Alligator mississippiensis: one gene and its partner. The protein of the gene in region 2 binds, or shares a complex with, the protein of the main gene of each other region. Links are inferred from orthologs where the notes say so. Each region holds a gene or a part of one and is shown on either strand. Other genes may lie near its edges. The genes, in order: PTH and PTH1R.

Region 1 (6,620 bases), on a different chromosome or scaffold from region 2:
CTTGATACAGTATGAGAATGGTTTCCACAAGCAAATGGTTCCTGCCCCAGCAATTTGACAATCAAATATCATATTCCTGTTAATACCTACTACCTACACATGCACTTTGGTTCTGAGAGTTGCAGGTCTCACATACATAAATTAGTCATGTGTGGAGTCTAAGATGGCATACAGAAATTGTAGAGATAATGAACACGCTAGATGAGGGAAAAAAGATATGTTATAAGGTATTTGTTTTAATTTGAATTATTTGATTATTAATTATTATTTGATCCATAACAATCTCCATTTTTATTTACTTAGCCCCATGCTTAGAGTCATGCCATCACCTCTGCCTGTTTGGTGTATGCTGTTACTCTTAGCCTGTTATCTTTTACTGTCACTTCAATATTTTAATTTTATTTAAAACTTATCTCTCTTGCTGTTTATGGAGTTAGTTTTAATTTTAGCCCTTCCTATTTTAATTATTAAACTGTTTTGGTTTTCCTATCTTTATAGTGTATTTTGTTTTTGCTATTTTTAAACTTAAAGCTCTGTTTTATTTTTATGTGTAACTAACCTTTACCAATTTTTGGATTAATTTATGCCCTATGAGTAGAGACGTCAACGTGACAGCTCAACGTGCACCAAGGTAGGCCTGTATTTAAGCCTTGACAAAATTAGTGCCCTATTTATTATGGAGATAGTGTGCCACCTTTTGTCATGTTGATTAGCTACCTATACGCTCTGGGTAGACTCAGTGATTCCCCTCAGATAAGACACTTTCCATGTAAGAGTTGCAGAATCCTGCCCTAAATTATTTTTTTAGCCTCGCCTTTTTTAGAACTGTTTATATTTCAACTCATTGCTTGCTTGTCTTTTTCAAATATAAGGATTAAATGTTGAAAATAAAAGAGACACAATTGAAGAGAAATTCAGAAATTAGCAGCAGTGGAGATGAGCAAGCTATGAACATCTCTTGATATATGTTTGTGCACTACGTTGCTCAGTGGAGTTGCAGTCTTGCCTGGGGCCTCTAGGCTTTACTGTAATTCAAATAAATAAGAATAAAATGCCCTGTTTACTCAGTGACTTACAGACAAGAGTTTGCTTGGACAGACACAATGCTATGGCTGTTTTCACTGTGATTTAGTTTTGAAGAGTACATCCATATAAGCGTTGTCCAAATCAATGGGTTTCTTTTGCACGGCTGCCCGCAGGTGCTCAGGGAGGAGCCTCCGTCTTCGGACCTCTCCCAGGACATCATCCTTCTTTCGGGGCCTACCATCCACCAGCGCTTCAGGTGCACTGTGCACATCTTGCAGTTTTAACTGAAGCCAGTCCTGTCTCTCCACAGTATGCAGGTGTTCCCCCAGGTTGTGCATCAGTTGCATCTCACTCACTGACCGCTTCCTGTAGGAAAGAATAACAACGGAACAGCCTCTTAATGGTCCTCCCCTGAATTCTTGATCTCTATCAAAGCCCTGGATTGGAAACTTTTGGGATACAATGCAGTGCAAGATGCAGCTGCAGAACCTGGCCTTTTACTCAATAAGGGATGTTGTTATCTGGCACAACGAAAAATGATGATTTAATTAGTAGCAGATTTATTAGTGTGAGGAGGCTCAGAAGTTTGAAACAGTCTAGTCTGTATTGTGTAAGTATTGGGTACTGCCATCATTTATTTGGATTATAATTGTATTTATGTAATTGATCAATACCATGAAAATAAAGTATGTTGCTAAAAACATCTCCAAGCTCAAAAATGTATGACTATATACTTACGTCACTGATCTTCCATCAGACTTTGTAAAGAAACAAATTGCATATAAAATGATAGCAATCTTGGTCATATCTTTAATAGAAATCATGTTAGCTGTAAGACAGAAAGAAAGACAAAAATTGATGAATCTGTTTCAAATAATTTCCAACTAATTAAGCAAAGGGAGCAATTTGGGTAACATAGGGCAAAGTTTTAAAGGCAGGCATATTGAGAAAGTGACTGAGAAATGTTTTTCATGTGTAATGACTAGAATAAGGGATTTAGGATTGTGAAGAACTGACTTCTATTCTTAATTTTGCCAGTGACTTTGGCAAGTCTAGTACCTTCTGTGAGCTTCAATTTCCCCATTTATCATGTGGTAATAATACTAACCTAACTCTTAACATCTTTGGATGCAAAGCATCACTAGTTGCAAAATATTACAGTTATGATTTATTATTCATTTCTATCTCATTGAAAAGATATTTTTAAGTACTTTGAAATACTTCTGTACATCCATGATGCCCACGGTAGCATTCTTTTATGTTTCCTGTTTCTCAGTAGGCATGTTTATATGTTCATTAATGAGCCTTAGATACTGCGCATTTAGTTTAGTACTTCTTTAATAAAGTACTAAATGCACAGTACCTAGAGTTACTGTGCAGTAGCATTGGTGCACGGTTATTTAGTGACATTTACTGTGCAGTAGCCTAATAGCACTGCACAGTAGGCTATTAGCATGGTTTTTGCTGTGACATGCTACTGCACAGTGTTATTAGGCTCATGCACAGTAAGCGTCTGGTGTTAGATGCACCCAGTGAGTTGCATTTTCTGAATTTCCTGACAGAACTAAGAATTTGATTTTACTCTAAGCCAGTTTCACACTGGTATAATTCTACTGAATACAGTGGTATTATTCCCCATTTTGACTTATGTAAGTGGGATAGAAATCAGTAGGGATCCTGGTTTTCTCTGAAAAAAATCCCCAATTTTTGGATTAAAAGAGTAACCCCAAATCCACATTTTTCCATGATCAAAATGAAACATCACAATATATATATAGTGATGTTTCATTTTAATCATGGAAATATATATATATATATATATATATATATATATACACATACATATACATATATATATGTATATTTCCATGTACATATATGCATATATGTATACTACTATTCATAATTTCATAGCCTATTGTTAACAACCATAAAAAGTATAATTTTACTTTCATTCAATATGTTTAACATAATCAGAAACAGACTAAAAGTGTGCAGCCTGAAATATCTTTTGAAATAAAATCACTTGTGTAAAATAAAAGAAAATATAGCATACTTACCAAGTAATATCTTAAACAGGTCTCTGTTTCAGATATGTCAGCAGCTGACTGTCTTTGGAGTCGAGTATATTTAAAGACTACTGAATTGGTCTAGTGGACCCCTTAAATGTAACTTTAAAATAGAACTTCTAAGTAACTAAGAAGCCCTTTTATTGTCTCAGTTGATGTCACTCCCAGCACACACCCCCTGACCCTCATGTACCCACCCTCTTATGGTTTTGTTAATTGCGCATTTAAAGAAAGAGAAAAGAAAGGTTTAAGATAAAAGAAAGTATCCTGGGTAACCCTGAAGAGGTTTGACTTTTGGGGAATCTGATTTTGGGTTAGGAAGAAAATGCAAGTAAGACAATTATCAATGACTGAATTTATTGATCAACTTTAAATGTTAATGACTCCACAGATGACTAAACACAGTAACCTTTTAAAGCAGAGTACAATGACCATATGAAGTAAATCCCATGTTACAGGAGCCTTTACTAAACAAGACCCATTCAATTTTGACCCTAAATATCTTATTCCAGATTGTTACGTTATTCTCTAAAAAGAAAAACTAAGTATTTTCAAAAGATAATTTCAGTTCAATATTGAAAATTGCTTTGAATGCACCTGTTGCAAAATAGAACAGATTAAAAATAGTAAAATGGATGAAATATTTACGCAGCTATTTTTAACTAGCTAAATTGCCATTTCTACTAGAAACACTTTTTTAATTTTACAAAAGGAATGCTGATTCTTTTTATTCCTTACCTTTCTAACAAAGTAACAATTATGAGGACAGATCATTTCAATTGGATAGCATGGCCCCTGTTCAGCAGAGTACTTAATCACATTTATAACTTGAATCATGAGAGTAGTTCCACAGAGTTGCTGAATTTGGGTCATGGTCTTGATTAAATACCATTTTTTAGAAAATTAAAAAATATTGCCAAGAACCTTAAATCAATGTAGACTTTGATAAAATTTTAGCATTAACATGAATATATACATAGATACATGTATATTATATATTAAAGACTAACTTTATCTCACCCTCTCTATATAACTTCAGACACTTCAGGGTTCAATGATGAAGTCCAGGAAAGCAAGGTAGGATCCTACAGCGTATGTATTAAGCAGCAGTACCATGCTGTTTCATAAGTTGTATATATTCTTATTTTGTTGTAGAACTACAGAAGAGATATTGTAAAGAAAGGGTCCTATTCTTAAAACCTCACTGAGGAGAACAGCTCAGCTTATTTACCAACAAGTGGGACTACTCTTGTGAGTGAGGCTCCAGGATCAGACCATCTGAAAAACCTTCTTAGGGCCCGTTTCTGCAAAGATCACCGTATAAGGGGAAACCAGGCACTCACTTGGAGTGCCACTATTTCCACAGTGCTCCATGGAGGGAGAGAAATCCATTAGCATGGCTTTCATGGCAGGACTTGAGCTTTTGTTGAACCATTGAAAGACTTGATCTTGCAAGCTTTCCTATTGATTTTCAGCTCATACTTTATTTATAGCAGCTTGCCAAATCTAGGGACATTTGTGTGTGTTTTATTTGGAGAAGAAAAATCATAAGACCACCATCACTTCTTATGGATTTTTAAGAAAATCAAAATATGGTTTACATGGCGAAGGAAGACTTTTGTTACACTGTGTTGAGGAAATAATATTTGAAAGCAAACAAAGATGAGAAGGAATAGCTGAAATGTTACATAGTTAAGAGTATTTTACAAACTGAGTTTTATTTATTAGTTTGGACTTTATGCTCACGTATCAACTGTCATCAGAGGATTTAGCACATGCCAGAAGGGGAAGTACATGTTGTTATCCCCATTTTACATAGAGGTAAGATGAGTGACAAAGGTTTAGACTCATCCAAGTCAGTCAACAGCAGAACTGTGAATAGAACCTAGAGCTACTCTTAACACTCCCTGTTCTGTTAGGCAACAGCTTTTTCAACTTCTTCAAAGAGCAATGTTGCTCTATGAATAAATGCTTTATTCCATTGTCACTGCGCAGAACTTGGTAAAAGGTCATATCTGCTCAAATTTTGTTCTAGAAATAGCTGTTGTGTTCTGAAAGTTTAAAAAATATCCTTCTTCACTAATAATGAGCTTTTTTAAACTAGGGGGTAATATTCTTTTGTACAGGAGGCACATGAATAGCAAGTTATTTGGTTCTGAGAAATCATTGTCAATAGGTGCAAAAAAAATGAGAGGTTATTCTTAGGAGAATATGACTGGGCTGTTATTTTATGAGTTGTTTCCAGTTCTTTGAAATATCAAATGTCTGCTACAGTTTATGAAACTATGCAAAGGGAGTGGAACGGCTATGTAACATACCTTGTGCACAGGTAAAAACAGAGTAATTCTGCTTTATTTAAATTGTCTATTACTGACCTTAGAAAGGAAACAATACAGAGATGCACTCCAAAGTGCATTGCAGTAATATCTTATCCATTACATCAGACTTTGTAGCTGTAGGCAACAGACAATGGCACTTCAGAAGGGGAGGATGGGGCGTGATGATGCTGGAGTCACTCTGTGGGAAGGAAGAGCTGACCACAACCTTTTCTTCTGAAGAGCTTGATCAAGCACAGAACTACCCTTCCCTGACCTTCACGTATTGATTGAATGGATACTTTAACTAACTGTGCACGATGATACCTTGCATTATTCCATTTTCAGGAGGAATGCCACCTTGCCCTGTATTTGTGTCACTGCATATCATTAGACTCTTATTACCTGCAAGATAGATTTTTTTCAGTTTGGGAGATGGATGATGATAACATTTTTAAATTACAGACTCCAATACCCTTTCTGAATTATATTCATTTTAGCAAGAGATAAGGTTATTTTGAGTGAGATCATTCACAGACTTAAAATTAAGCACATGCTCAGTGCATTACTGCAACAAAGCTAGAAAAGCACAGCACCCTGCTGGATTGCTCCCTAGATAATTCAAATACATTTTCATAAATTAAATATGCATCTCCATGAAATTATACCCCTGGAGATTTCTAATGCATTACAAATCTAATTAAGGTTAAAATATTTAAATGACATACTTCTGTTTTAGTGACAGTGTTAGAATTTCATCCTTTGTATTGGTAGGAGCTCTCAGCTAAACTGCATTGTAATCACCTTGTCCTAGGAGAATATTACTAGAATTCTGAGCTGAGGGAAGAGGAGGATGGATGGTGACACACTGGCTGACTGTGGTGAGGCAACCTTTCTAAATGTGTCTGAGGAATGTTTCTGTCTTGACACAATGCAGATCCAAAATGACAGTCAGTAAACTCTTTAGATCTTCATTTGATTGACAAGATTTGTGGCTTTTCAAATGCCTCAGCAGGATGTTTGGTCATTTATGTAAGCGGTGTGACGTAACCTTAGGTGTCTCTTGGGTTACCACAGCGAGCTGAAGTTTTAATCAAGTTAATTCCAGTTAAAGATGAAAAAGAGAGAAAAAAAACCTTGTGCGAAATTCAAAATGAAGCCCACTACAATTTTAGAAAAGCCAGTTTGTGTAGTGCACTTCACTTTTTAG
Region 2 (9,256 bases):
AAATTGAATAAATATAACCTGGGCAAAAAAGGAACAGTCAGAGCAAAACCTACCCCCACCTAGGAATGAAAAGTTTACATCAAAATATAAAATTTCAGTTAAAGGTAACCATATTTGGCAAACAGAAGCAAGATGATTAATATGCATTAGGAGGAAGGTTTAAGTTAATTTTATGTATTAAGAAATGCAAATTATACAATATATAAAAAAAGTGAGGGCATGTACCCTTCGAAACACTCTTGAAGAAAGCCTGAAGAGATCCCATCATTGATCCAAGATCCTGTTTTGATATCAGACGTGGGAGCCAGGAGCCCTGGACAAGACTTCACGGCCTGATCACCCAGTGAAGTTGCATTCACAACATTTGGGGTGGTGAGCATCTGCTTTGACTAGCTACAAGCCTAAATTTTTAAACTGCTACTGCTACTTCAGTTTTAAATAGAATGGTATCTGTTAGGGTTCAATAAACTCTCTTTAGTTTAGGTCAACTGTGTCGTACTCTCCTTGCCTGGTATAAGACTGATCATAGGATCATAGGAATGCAACAAATTGGCGGAGAATGCGGGCAGCCAGGTAACGGGTGCGGACTGTGGATGTAGGTTCCCCTGTGTTGGTCAGACTGTGAATGTAAGTCCAGCAACATGGCACAATCGTTTTTGGCCTGTGAAGGGATGCAGGTCAGATCATGTCATGTGCAGATGTGTTCAGGACCAAAAACACATGCACAGTCGTTCTTGTTTGCACCAGTGTGCAAGTCCACTCAGGGGAACGGATCCATCCATCCTGTTACTAACCACAGGGGGGAAATCATAACCTCACCCATGAGCATGTCTTGAGCATGTCTCTAGTGCCCCAAACACAACTGACTATGCATGACCAGGACAGGAAGGATCATGCCACAGTCTGGGTGTTATGCCAGGACTGCAGAGATCCAGCTTCAATCTTGGAGTCTGCCCCACTCTTCTGTCGTGCCCTTGAGCAAGTAACTCAGACCTGGTCCACACTGCAAAACTCTGTTGGAGTTACCTAGGTCAGGTACGGGCAGGGGAAGAGCGCACCACCTTTTGGACATAGCAATGCTGGCATTACCCCAGCTGACGGGGCAGTGCTGTGGGTGGCTCACCAGGCATGACTTGCAGAGATGTGGCAGCAAAGGTGGCAGATGCTGCACCTGCACTAGGACGCATCGCCATTTAGCCTTTCCGAGGTAGACATGGCAGCAGGGACCCCAGTGCATAGACAAGGCCTCTGTCTCTCTGGGTTGCCATTCCCCCTCTGCCCAATGAGGATAGTCATCACTGGTAATCCCTCGCAATCGAGGAGGATTGTCTTCCATGATGACCTTATCTGTTGGTCCAAAGATGCCTGATAGGGCCAATCCACAAGTGACAGGCTCTCTTGCAACTTGGGCACGTGTTTGTATGCAGGGTGGGTGGCTCTGGATTTCTGGTTTGTCATGGGAGATACCTGTGCGTGATTTCCTTTTTCATGAAGCTGCTGCACATCAGCTTCCACGCAGTTCTTGACAGAATGGGACTTTGATCCAGTGGCAAGGAGACCAAGACAACTGGAGATCTCATTCTGCCGCAGCCTTCGTTCACCTCTGCAGCCGTTGAGGTTTTAACATCTTCTTCCACCTGCTCCGCCATTGAGGATTTGTAGATCCATGGCTGGGGGCTGGGTAGGCTTATTATAGTGGCAACCTCTACTTGCCATGTCGCAGCACTATCAAAGGATGTATGTGGCTTTTCAGGAGGGAGAGCATTGCCATCTGCTGTCCCCACCATAGCCTGGTGGTGCTGCCACTGCTTATCCATCATTTAACCTTCTCTCGTTCACCACTAACCTTCCCTAAAGGGAAGCCAATCCACTACCTGTGGACACGGTGAGAAGCAGCATGGCTCTGCCACCAGAAACAGGGAAGTTGCCTCATGTAGCCTTGTCAGTGATGGGTTAATTCTCACGGGGATGAGCTGCCATAGTGATTCTCAACCAGGGTGCCAGCAGATCTGGGTGCTGTGGGGTGCAAGGCAGTGTTAGTGCTGTTAGGTGCACGAACATGATTGACAGGTGAAACCAGAGATCCTATATATAGCACTCCCCAAGTGCCCGACTGATCCCCATCTCCTCCCCACGCTGCTGCTCTGCTTTCTGCTCCATTCCTTGTGCTCCCGGCCCAATTCGCTGCTCTGCTTTCTGTTCCCTGCCCCATCTGCTGCTGTGCTGCCTGTCCCCACCCTGATCTGTCACATGCCATGCACGGAGGCTGCCGGTGCTACTCGTGGCCTCGGTGCCACAGGTTAACCACCCTTTTCTGTAGTCAAAATACCGGTTGAAAGCTCAGAGCTGGCATTTGCTGAGGGAGCCCTGGAGTCTAACAAGGGGCCCTTGGTTGAGAATCACAGGGCTAACAGATCCAGCGGTGCTAATTAGCCAGCCTGAAGTGCCACGTGAATGCAGGAATGCTGTTCTGGATTAAGAGGTAACAGTGCATTCAAGGATGCCACTCCAGAGCAAGGTACATTTAGTGTATAGTCAGGGCCTGAGATGCTCAGGCACTGCAAGGAGCAGGGCGCTGCAACTAGCTAGGATAGAAGTCAGGGTCATGCGTGCATGTTTGCTGGTGACCCCGACCTGGTGCAGCTGGTGAACCTGATTTGCCCTGGCTTTGCCCCAGGGATGCTCCCTAGCACCAGGGCAATGGACCTGGGTATTTGACTGTCCTGATCTCCCAGTTGGTTTCCCCCACTTCTCTCTGGATCAAGCATCGTAGCATAAGGCAGGCGCACGGTAAACCAAGTCCCATTTGTGAACCTGCCCCAGCCCAGAGGAAATCAGGGGAAAGACCCCGATGGGTTTGGATCATCTCGTCTGCTCTGTCAGGGCTTGAAACTGTGTCCACACAGCCAAGGAAAAGCCAGGCCTGGCTCTCATGCAGGGCTGATCTCCTGTTTAGCACTGAAATAACAAGCGCCAAGCTGCCCTGAACCGTGGGACGGGAAAGATTAGCAATGTAGGGGTGGCCACTGACTCCTGGCTACTGTGACCGTCTGTAGACATGCAGAACCTGGGCCCCAAATATCAGCGCCAAACCCTTCAGGGGCCTCTGCGGCCCACGCCTCCCCACCTTAGCTGCCTCGGATGGAGGGAGAGGGCAGAGGCAAGAGAACGGTTAGCACGGTGCCGCTTCAGCAGTTCCCTGGCCTCTGTCTTTAATCATTAAATTCCCAGGGGCCCCGCAGGGCCCGAGCAGAGCGACCCTCTCTGCAAAGAAGCGGCGGGTGGATGCCTCCCTGTTTGTCTCCCTGCGCCAAGGCGGGCACGGAGCAAGGCCCCGCCGTCCAAAATATGTGAGCAAACACACAGAGGAGAAGTCCAGCGCCACAAGCTCCGGCTCGGCAGGCTAGCTGCAAAGACGCTATCACTTTCCCAGGGGCGGTGGGTGGGGGGGAGCCTGGAGCATTTAAGCCGGGGCCAGATTCTCCCCTCTGGAGCGAGCCAGGCCCCTCAGGCTGCAGCGGTTTTCTCCGCCAGGGCATCAAGCTCCAGCATGCATATTTGTTTAATCCACCCCATTTCTGCCCTGCACCGCCGTCCCAGGAATGTCTCTCCCAGGCCGGGGTCGGGGCTGGATTTTTGTGCATGGTCGACGTCGCCTATAGCCGGGACCCCTTCTTCGCCCTCGCCCCCATCCCACTCCTCTCCTAGAAGGGTTGCAATCAGATGCACGGCCTAAGTGGAGACATGTGTAGCCGCTGAAACCAGCAGCGAGAGCTTGCAAAGGCACCGAGCTCCCTCCTTAAGGAGTGGGAAGGTCCGAGACGGGAGGGAAGAGGGGGGTGGGAAGGGGGTGGGGGGACGGGCTAAGGGGGTGGGGTGGGAGGTGTGGACAGCTAACCCTGTGGTTCCCTGCCTGAGGATCACATGGTGGCTATGGCCAGCCAATGGGGTCCTGGCCATGCTGATTTTTATACCTGCCTCCCTGCTCTAAAACTACAGGCATTCACTGAGAGCCTCTCAGACTGGCTGAGAGGCAGAGCGGGGAGGAAGAGGTTGCATCCAGAGCTGAACTTTTTTTTTCACTTTTTTTTCCCCCTCCCTCTCTCCCTCCCTCCCTCTCTCTTACAGGAAGCCCTCTCTACCTTAGCCTTGGAAAGAGCCCCTTTTCATAAAATCAGCTGAAGGCACCCATTCACAGCCAAAAGGGGGTTGTGAAAAAAAAAAAAGCAAGCCAACCTTAAAGATTTTGCACTCAAAGAAATCAAAAAGAGAAGTGGCCAGAGGTCCACCCGGAGAAAACTTCAGGCTGCTTGTTTTTTCCCCCCTGTCTGCTCTACAAAGACCTTGATAGAGGCTCCAAAAGCTCCTTTTAAATAATAATAATAAGCAGAAATCCACTGTTTGTGCCAGAATAAATCAATCGCTGGCAAATGATTTCAGCAGGGATTAGCTAAGCGCCCTACCCCAGTCCCTCTGGAAAACACAGATCTGATCAATGGATGCCTGGTGAGCCCTTTTGGCTTAAACAAAAACTATCGCCGTTGCCAAAAAAAAGTGTGTGTCGCGGGGTGGGGCGGGGGGGAGAGTTGTGTTGATTTTTTTTTTCTTCTCCTTGAAACTTTATGAATGAAACTGGAGTAAGGATCCTGTCTTGGAAATAACACGCTGGTAAATTTTATCCTGGGAGTAAGGGGGAATGGTTAGAGGGGGTGGTCTTAGCTCACAACTCGAGAGGCGGCTGCTTGCAAAAACAGCGTGCTTCTCTTTTTTGGGGGGTGGCTTGAAGCTGCAGGGTAGATGCTGGAGGGAGGCAGCTCCACAGAGGGAATAACTGGGAGAGATCCCCCCCAAAAAGTGCCATAGCAATTTTTTGGTAATGCCCTCTCTCTGCTCTGGGTGGAAGTAAACAGGCTGTCAGCATTTTCCTCTTGCTAAGCGGAGCTAAAGCAGCAGCAGCAGCCAGCCCGAGTGAGAATCAGCAACTTTCTTTTTAATTTCGGGATCTGGGTGCTTATTCTTTCTGGGACAGGACAAGAAGCGTGCGTGTGTGTGTGTGTGTGCAGGAGAGAGGGTGCCTTTCTGCAGATGGCAAGGCGAGGAGGTCGGAAAATGTCCTGCAGTCAGTAAAAAAAAAGGGGGGGGGGGTCCTTTTTTTTTTTTTTTTGAGCGCGACATCTCAAGTCAACTCTTTAAGAAAGCAAAAAAATTCAGCCCCGCGCCTCCATGCCCTCCTCAATTGGCTTTTTGAAACTGCAGATCCTTTGAGACAGACAGGGGGGAGAGAGGCAGAGAGAGAGGGAGAAAAAATCCATCTTGCTCCCAAGGAGAGCCGGCTGCAAGCTGGAGAAGGCAGGCAGAATAAACCTATTGTGGAGCTGAAATGCACTGAAATATAGCAGCAATAGAAAAGCCCGAGCCAACAGCACCCCTCCTTGCACAAACGTAATTGCTCAGTGAAAATAGTTCCAACTTCAGGCTTTTTTTTTTAAAAAGAAAACTTGTGATTTGTTTGCTTTGAAGGGGGAGAGGGAAAAAAAAAAAAAAGGGGGCGTTTTTTTTTCCGCCCCCCTCCCTGTGAAACCTTAAAAGATAAAATTACTGGATCTAAAAATAAAGCAGTGGTTAAAACCTTTCCCCCACCCCTTACAACTCCCCCCCCCCACCCCTCCCATTTCTCCCTCTCTCTCTCTATGTGTGTTTGCATTCGACAAAGAAATGATTTGAACTTCCCACTGCCTCATAAAAAGGAAACAGAATAGCAGTTTTGACATATGGATGTGATTTCTCCGCTCTGACACAGATGCACACACACTCACAAGCCTGCTCCTTTTCACATGGACTCGTTGCCTACATGCATGAAGCGGCTGGAGGTGCTCAGCAATGAGAAGGCGAAGAGGAGGACTGGGCTGGCTTGTCATTTGCCTCTTGGGTTGAGAGCCATCCGGCCAGACCTCTGAAGGGGTCGCGGTGGAAGGACAACTCCTCTCCAAGCCCGGATCCCTGCAAGAAGCTTTCTCTCCTCCTCCCAGCTGCCCAGAGAGCTTCTTGGATGCTGCCCTAAGCGTCTTGGCTATGGGATCATATCTGGTTTATCACAGCCTGGGTTTGATCCTCTGCTGCTCCGTGCTAAGTTCTGTCTACGCGCTGGTAAGTGCCTGAAACGCTCTCCTTCTCTCTTCCCCCTTCTCCTTCTTGAGCAATTGTTTCGTGGCGCTTTCCTCGATGAGTAATTTACTGCCCGGAGATTCAGAGCGCTGGGTTTTTCAGCCTGATGTTGTGTGTCTCGCGGTGGAGCCTGGCCGCTTCTGGGCTGGGAGATGAAACGAAAATGTCTGGATTTTCCCGAAGCTTTGGCATTAGTTTTTTTGGGTTTGTTTTTTTTTTTCCCTCCCACTCCCAAAAAACAGAGAGAACATTTATAACCCAGGTATTGGAAGTATTCTCCGGGCTAGCCCCGCTCCAGTCCCTAGCCAAAGTTGTCCCGTTAACAAGAGGCCACGGTTTTGTGCCTTGCCATCCAGGACGAGGATCTGAATCTTAACGGACTCGAATTGGAGCTGAATTTCAGCAAACCCTTGCTCCGGGCTCTGGCAGGCTCTGTACAGTAGCATGCCGGATCCGCTGTGCAGTTCACAGAGTCAGCGCATGGATAGCATACCGTTTACACTCGGAGAATGAAAGTAGTATTAACTCTTTACTAGCTCAGGCTGTGTGTGGATGGGGATGTAGGTACACAGGGAGATTTCCTAGGCTGGAGATGCCCTTAAGCACCATGGACGCAGTTGTCTTCCCAAGTGGGGCCATGAGAGATTTAGGTCCCAGCTCTGCGGCCAGGGGTGACTTGTGCCTAAGCCTCCTAGGAGCCCACCCTGCCTTGTGCTCCTGTATGAGCACCTGCCTTTCTTTCCCTCTCCGCCGTTGCGGGTATCACAGTACATCCCTGTGGCTGCACAAGAGTGAACAGTAGTCGAGACAGTCACCGTTCAGGATAGGGATCAGACGTCAAACATGAGATCAGGTTGGGAAGGTCCCGGGATCTTCCCATCTCCACTCAAGCAAAGTTCCCGCTGAGTTTTGTGCGTGTCGGAGATAGGCCTGTTGCTTGGGGAAATGCGAAACAATGCAGCACTCCAGTTTTTAGGACATGTGGCAGGGTGTTGTCAATTAAAAGGCTCCTTGTTAGACAAGGAGAAAGAGCAGTCTATAAAACTCACCACCACCCAGATGTTCTGGCTATGGGCAGACTTCTCTGGCGTCATGTCTGGGATACACTGTGTATAGGCAAGAAAAAGCAGGGTCCACTCCAGGAGATGTGCTGATGTGGGGGGAGTTTGCAATAGCGATAGCTAAGGATGTTTCTTCCCGACCCCTCATGTCCAGCATCTAGCTGCACCCAAATTACCCCACTCTGTGACATCCAGACCCCTTTGGATGATAGTATACTGCAGTTGAATATGCAACACCTGCTATCCCTGCGCTGCTCAGACCTGCTTCTCTCAGAGTCGATGGCAAAATCCCCACTTCAATGGGCGTTGGTGGGATCTTGGTGCCCTGCAATTATTCAGGCTGAATTCCCCAAATACCAGCAGCAAGGATAGATAGGGGAGGATGCAGGGTCCTACCCACTTCCTTGCTTCTAGTCTCCCCTTTCCACGGCGGGTCCCTGCTACTAGCAGAAAGCACAGGGAATATCTGTGGGACCACAGGCGACACGCACAGAGAGGCTGTCTCAGTTGCCATGTCCTTGTAATGGACATTTCACCTGCAGATTATTCACAGAGCCAGTAAAAATCTCAGCAAATAGACAACTGCACATCTTAATCTCTGGGATTTGCTTCGCAGCAGGGGAGGGCTGCTCAGATACATGCATTGCACTGTGAGTGACTTCAGGGCTCGGGGGAAGGATGAACCGGGTTGTGTTTGGAGCAGGAGTAAGACCAGCAAAAGCAAAGGAATCACTTGCAGGGAGCTGCTCATTGCCTAGTGCGTTGTGTTGTCGGCATTCACGTTTGCACCCAGAGGTACTAATTCAGCCCTGGGGTTTGGTAAGGTTGTGCTCATCTAACACCGTTCATTTTAATTAGGCAGCAGAATCCCTGGCAGTGAAGTACACTTATACTAGGCTATTAGGGATCATTTCTGTAGTTCCTTCCTAGAAAAGGGTGTCAAAAAGTGATTGATCTGCCAGGGATGGTCAGTAAGGTTGTCAAAGGGGTTGCAAACTGTTCACATCTGGTGAAATTCCCCACGGCTTTGGCTTTTGCCAAGGAGGAAAGAGAGGGTCATGATCCTGAAGCTTAAAGCATTTGTCACGCTGCTGCATTGCAACCTGCAGTATGCAGCCAAACTGGAGCTGGGGCAGGATCCTGCTTTTTAACCTTCCCGCTTTGCACATGAAAAGTACCAGCTGTGCATGGCACTGACCCAGTAGAGAGCATATGGTGCTGCTCAAACCCCATAGCAGAGCCCCTGGAGGTAGCTGGATAGATACAGCAGGATCCCAGTGTATTTGGCAGCCTGCTCTTACAATGCGTTCGCTTCTGGGGTGGTGAGCAACAGCCCTGCCGCGTAACAGCGGAGGATATGCAGACAAGGGGTATCTGCAGCAGACCATACTGTGCTGAATGTGACTGGTGATCTTTAAGGTCCATGCAGAGCAAACAGGAGCTCCCTTCTTAAAGTCTGAATTAAAAGCCCCCCCCCCGGCAAGGCAGCTGATCGACTTGTGAAAGGTGCAGGGTTAAATCAGCGATTCGCAACCAGCGTGCTGTGGGGTGCCGTGATAGCCTTTGCAGGGTGCCGCACTGTTAGAAGCACAGACACCTACACACGATTCACAAGATAAACCCAGGTTCTTTGGGGAAATGTGATATAGCTTTTATTACACCCACTAAGGAGTTGGGAAAAAAATTGTTCTTTGCAAGCTTTTGGGCACAAACAGCCTTCTTCAGGTGTTTCTTATTAGACCAATTTCTTATTAGACCAACTTCACCCTTCTTATTAGACTCACTAAGTAGCTGGAAAAATTGTTCTTTGCGAGCTTTTGGGTGCAAACACCCTTCTTCAGGATGTTTGCACCCAAAAGCTTGCAAAGAACATTTTTTTTTCCAACTACTTAGTGGGTCTAATAAAAGATATCACATTTACCCAACAAACCTTGTCTGCCTATGTCCTTAGACCAACACGGCTACAACCAACACCCCCAAAAGATAAACCCAGAGCTTCCAAATAGGAAACCCGAGTCCCCCAACCCTGC

The links.
Region 1: the proteins of PTH1R (region 2) and PTH are in contact, whole or in part, in a cryo-EM structure (PDB 9JR3), measured with the Homo sapiens proteins. The link is inferred for Alligator mississippiensis from reciprocal best matches to the Homo sapiens genes PTH1R and PTH. Residues at the interface, in NP_000307.1 of Homo sapiens: Val31, Met32, Thr33, Lys34, Glu35, Gln37, Ile38, Leu41, Glu111, Trp112, Asp113, His114, Ile115, Ile135, Tyr136, Asp137, Phe138, Arg146, Arg162, Thr163, Ala165, Tyr167, Val171, Leu174, Thr175, Glu177, Glu180, Arg181, Phe184, Leu187; in NP_000306.1 of Homo sapiens: Ser32, Val33, Ser34, Glu35, Ile36, Gln37, Leu38, Met39, His40, Asn41, Leu42, Gly43, Lys44, His45, Leu46, Asn47, Glu50, Arg51, Val52, Glu53, Trp54, Leu55, Arg56, Lys58, Leu59, Asp61, Val62, His63, Asn64, Phe65.

What each region holds. Positions count from the first base shown.
Region 1 is NC_081825.1:202,020,796-202,027,415, forward strand, and holds PTH (parathyroid hormone), read right to left. Parts: upstream 1,851-6,620; coding exon 1,765-1,850; intron 1,393-1,764; coding exon 1,119-1,392; downstream 1-1,118. UniProt on the Homo sapiens protein: Parathyroid hormone elevates calcium level by dissolving the salts in bone and preventing their renal excretion. Acts by binding to its receptor, PTH1R, activating G protein-coupled receptor signaling.
Region 2 is NC_081828.1:216,069,326-216,078,581, forward strand, and holds the start of PTH1R (parathyroid hormone/parathyroid hormone-related peptide receptor), read left to right. Parts: upstream 1-5,634; 5' UTR 5,635-6,072; coding exon 6,073-6,147; intron 6,148-9,256.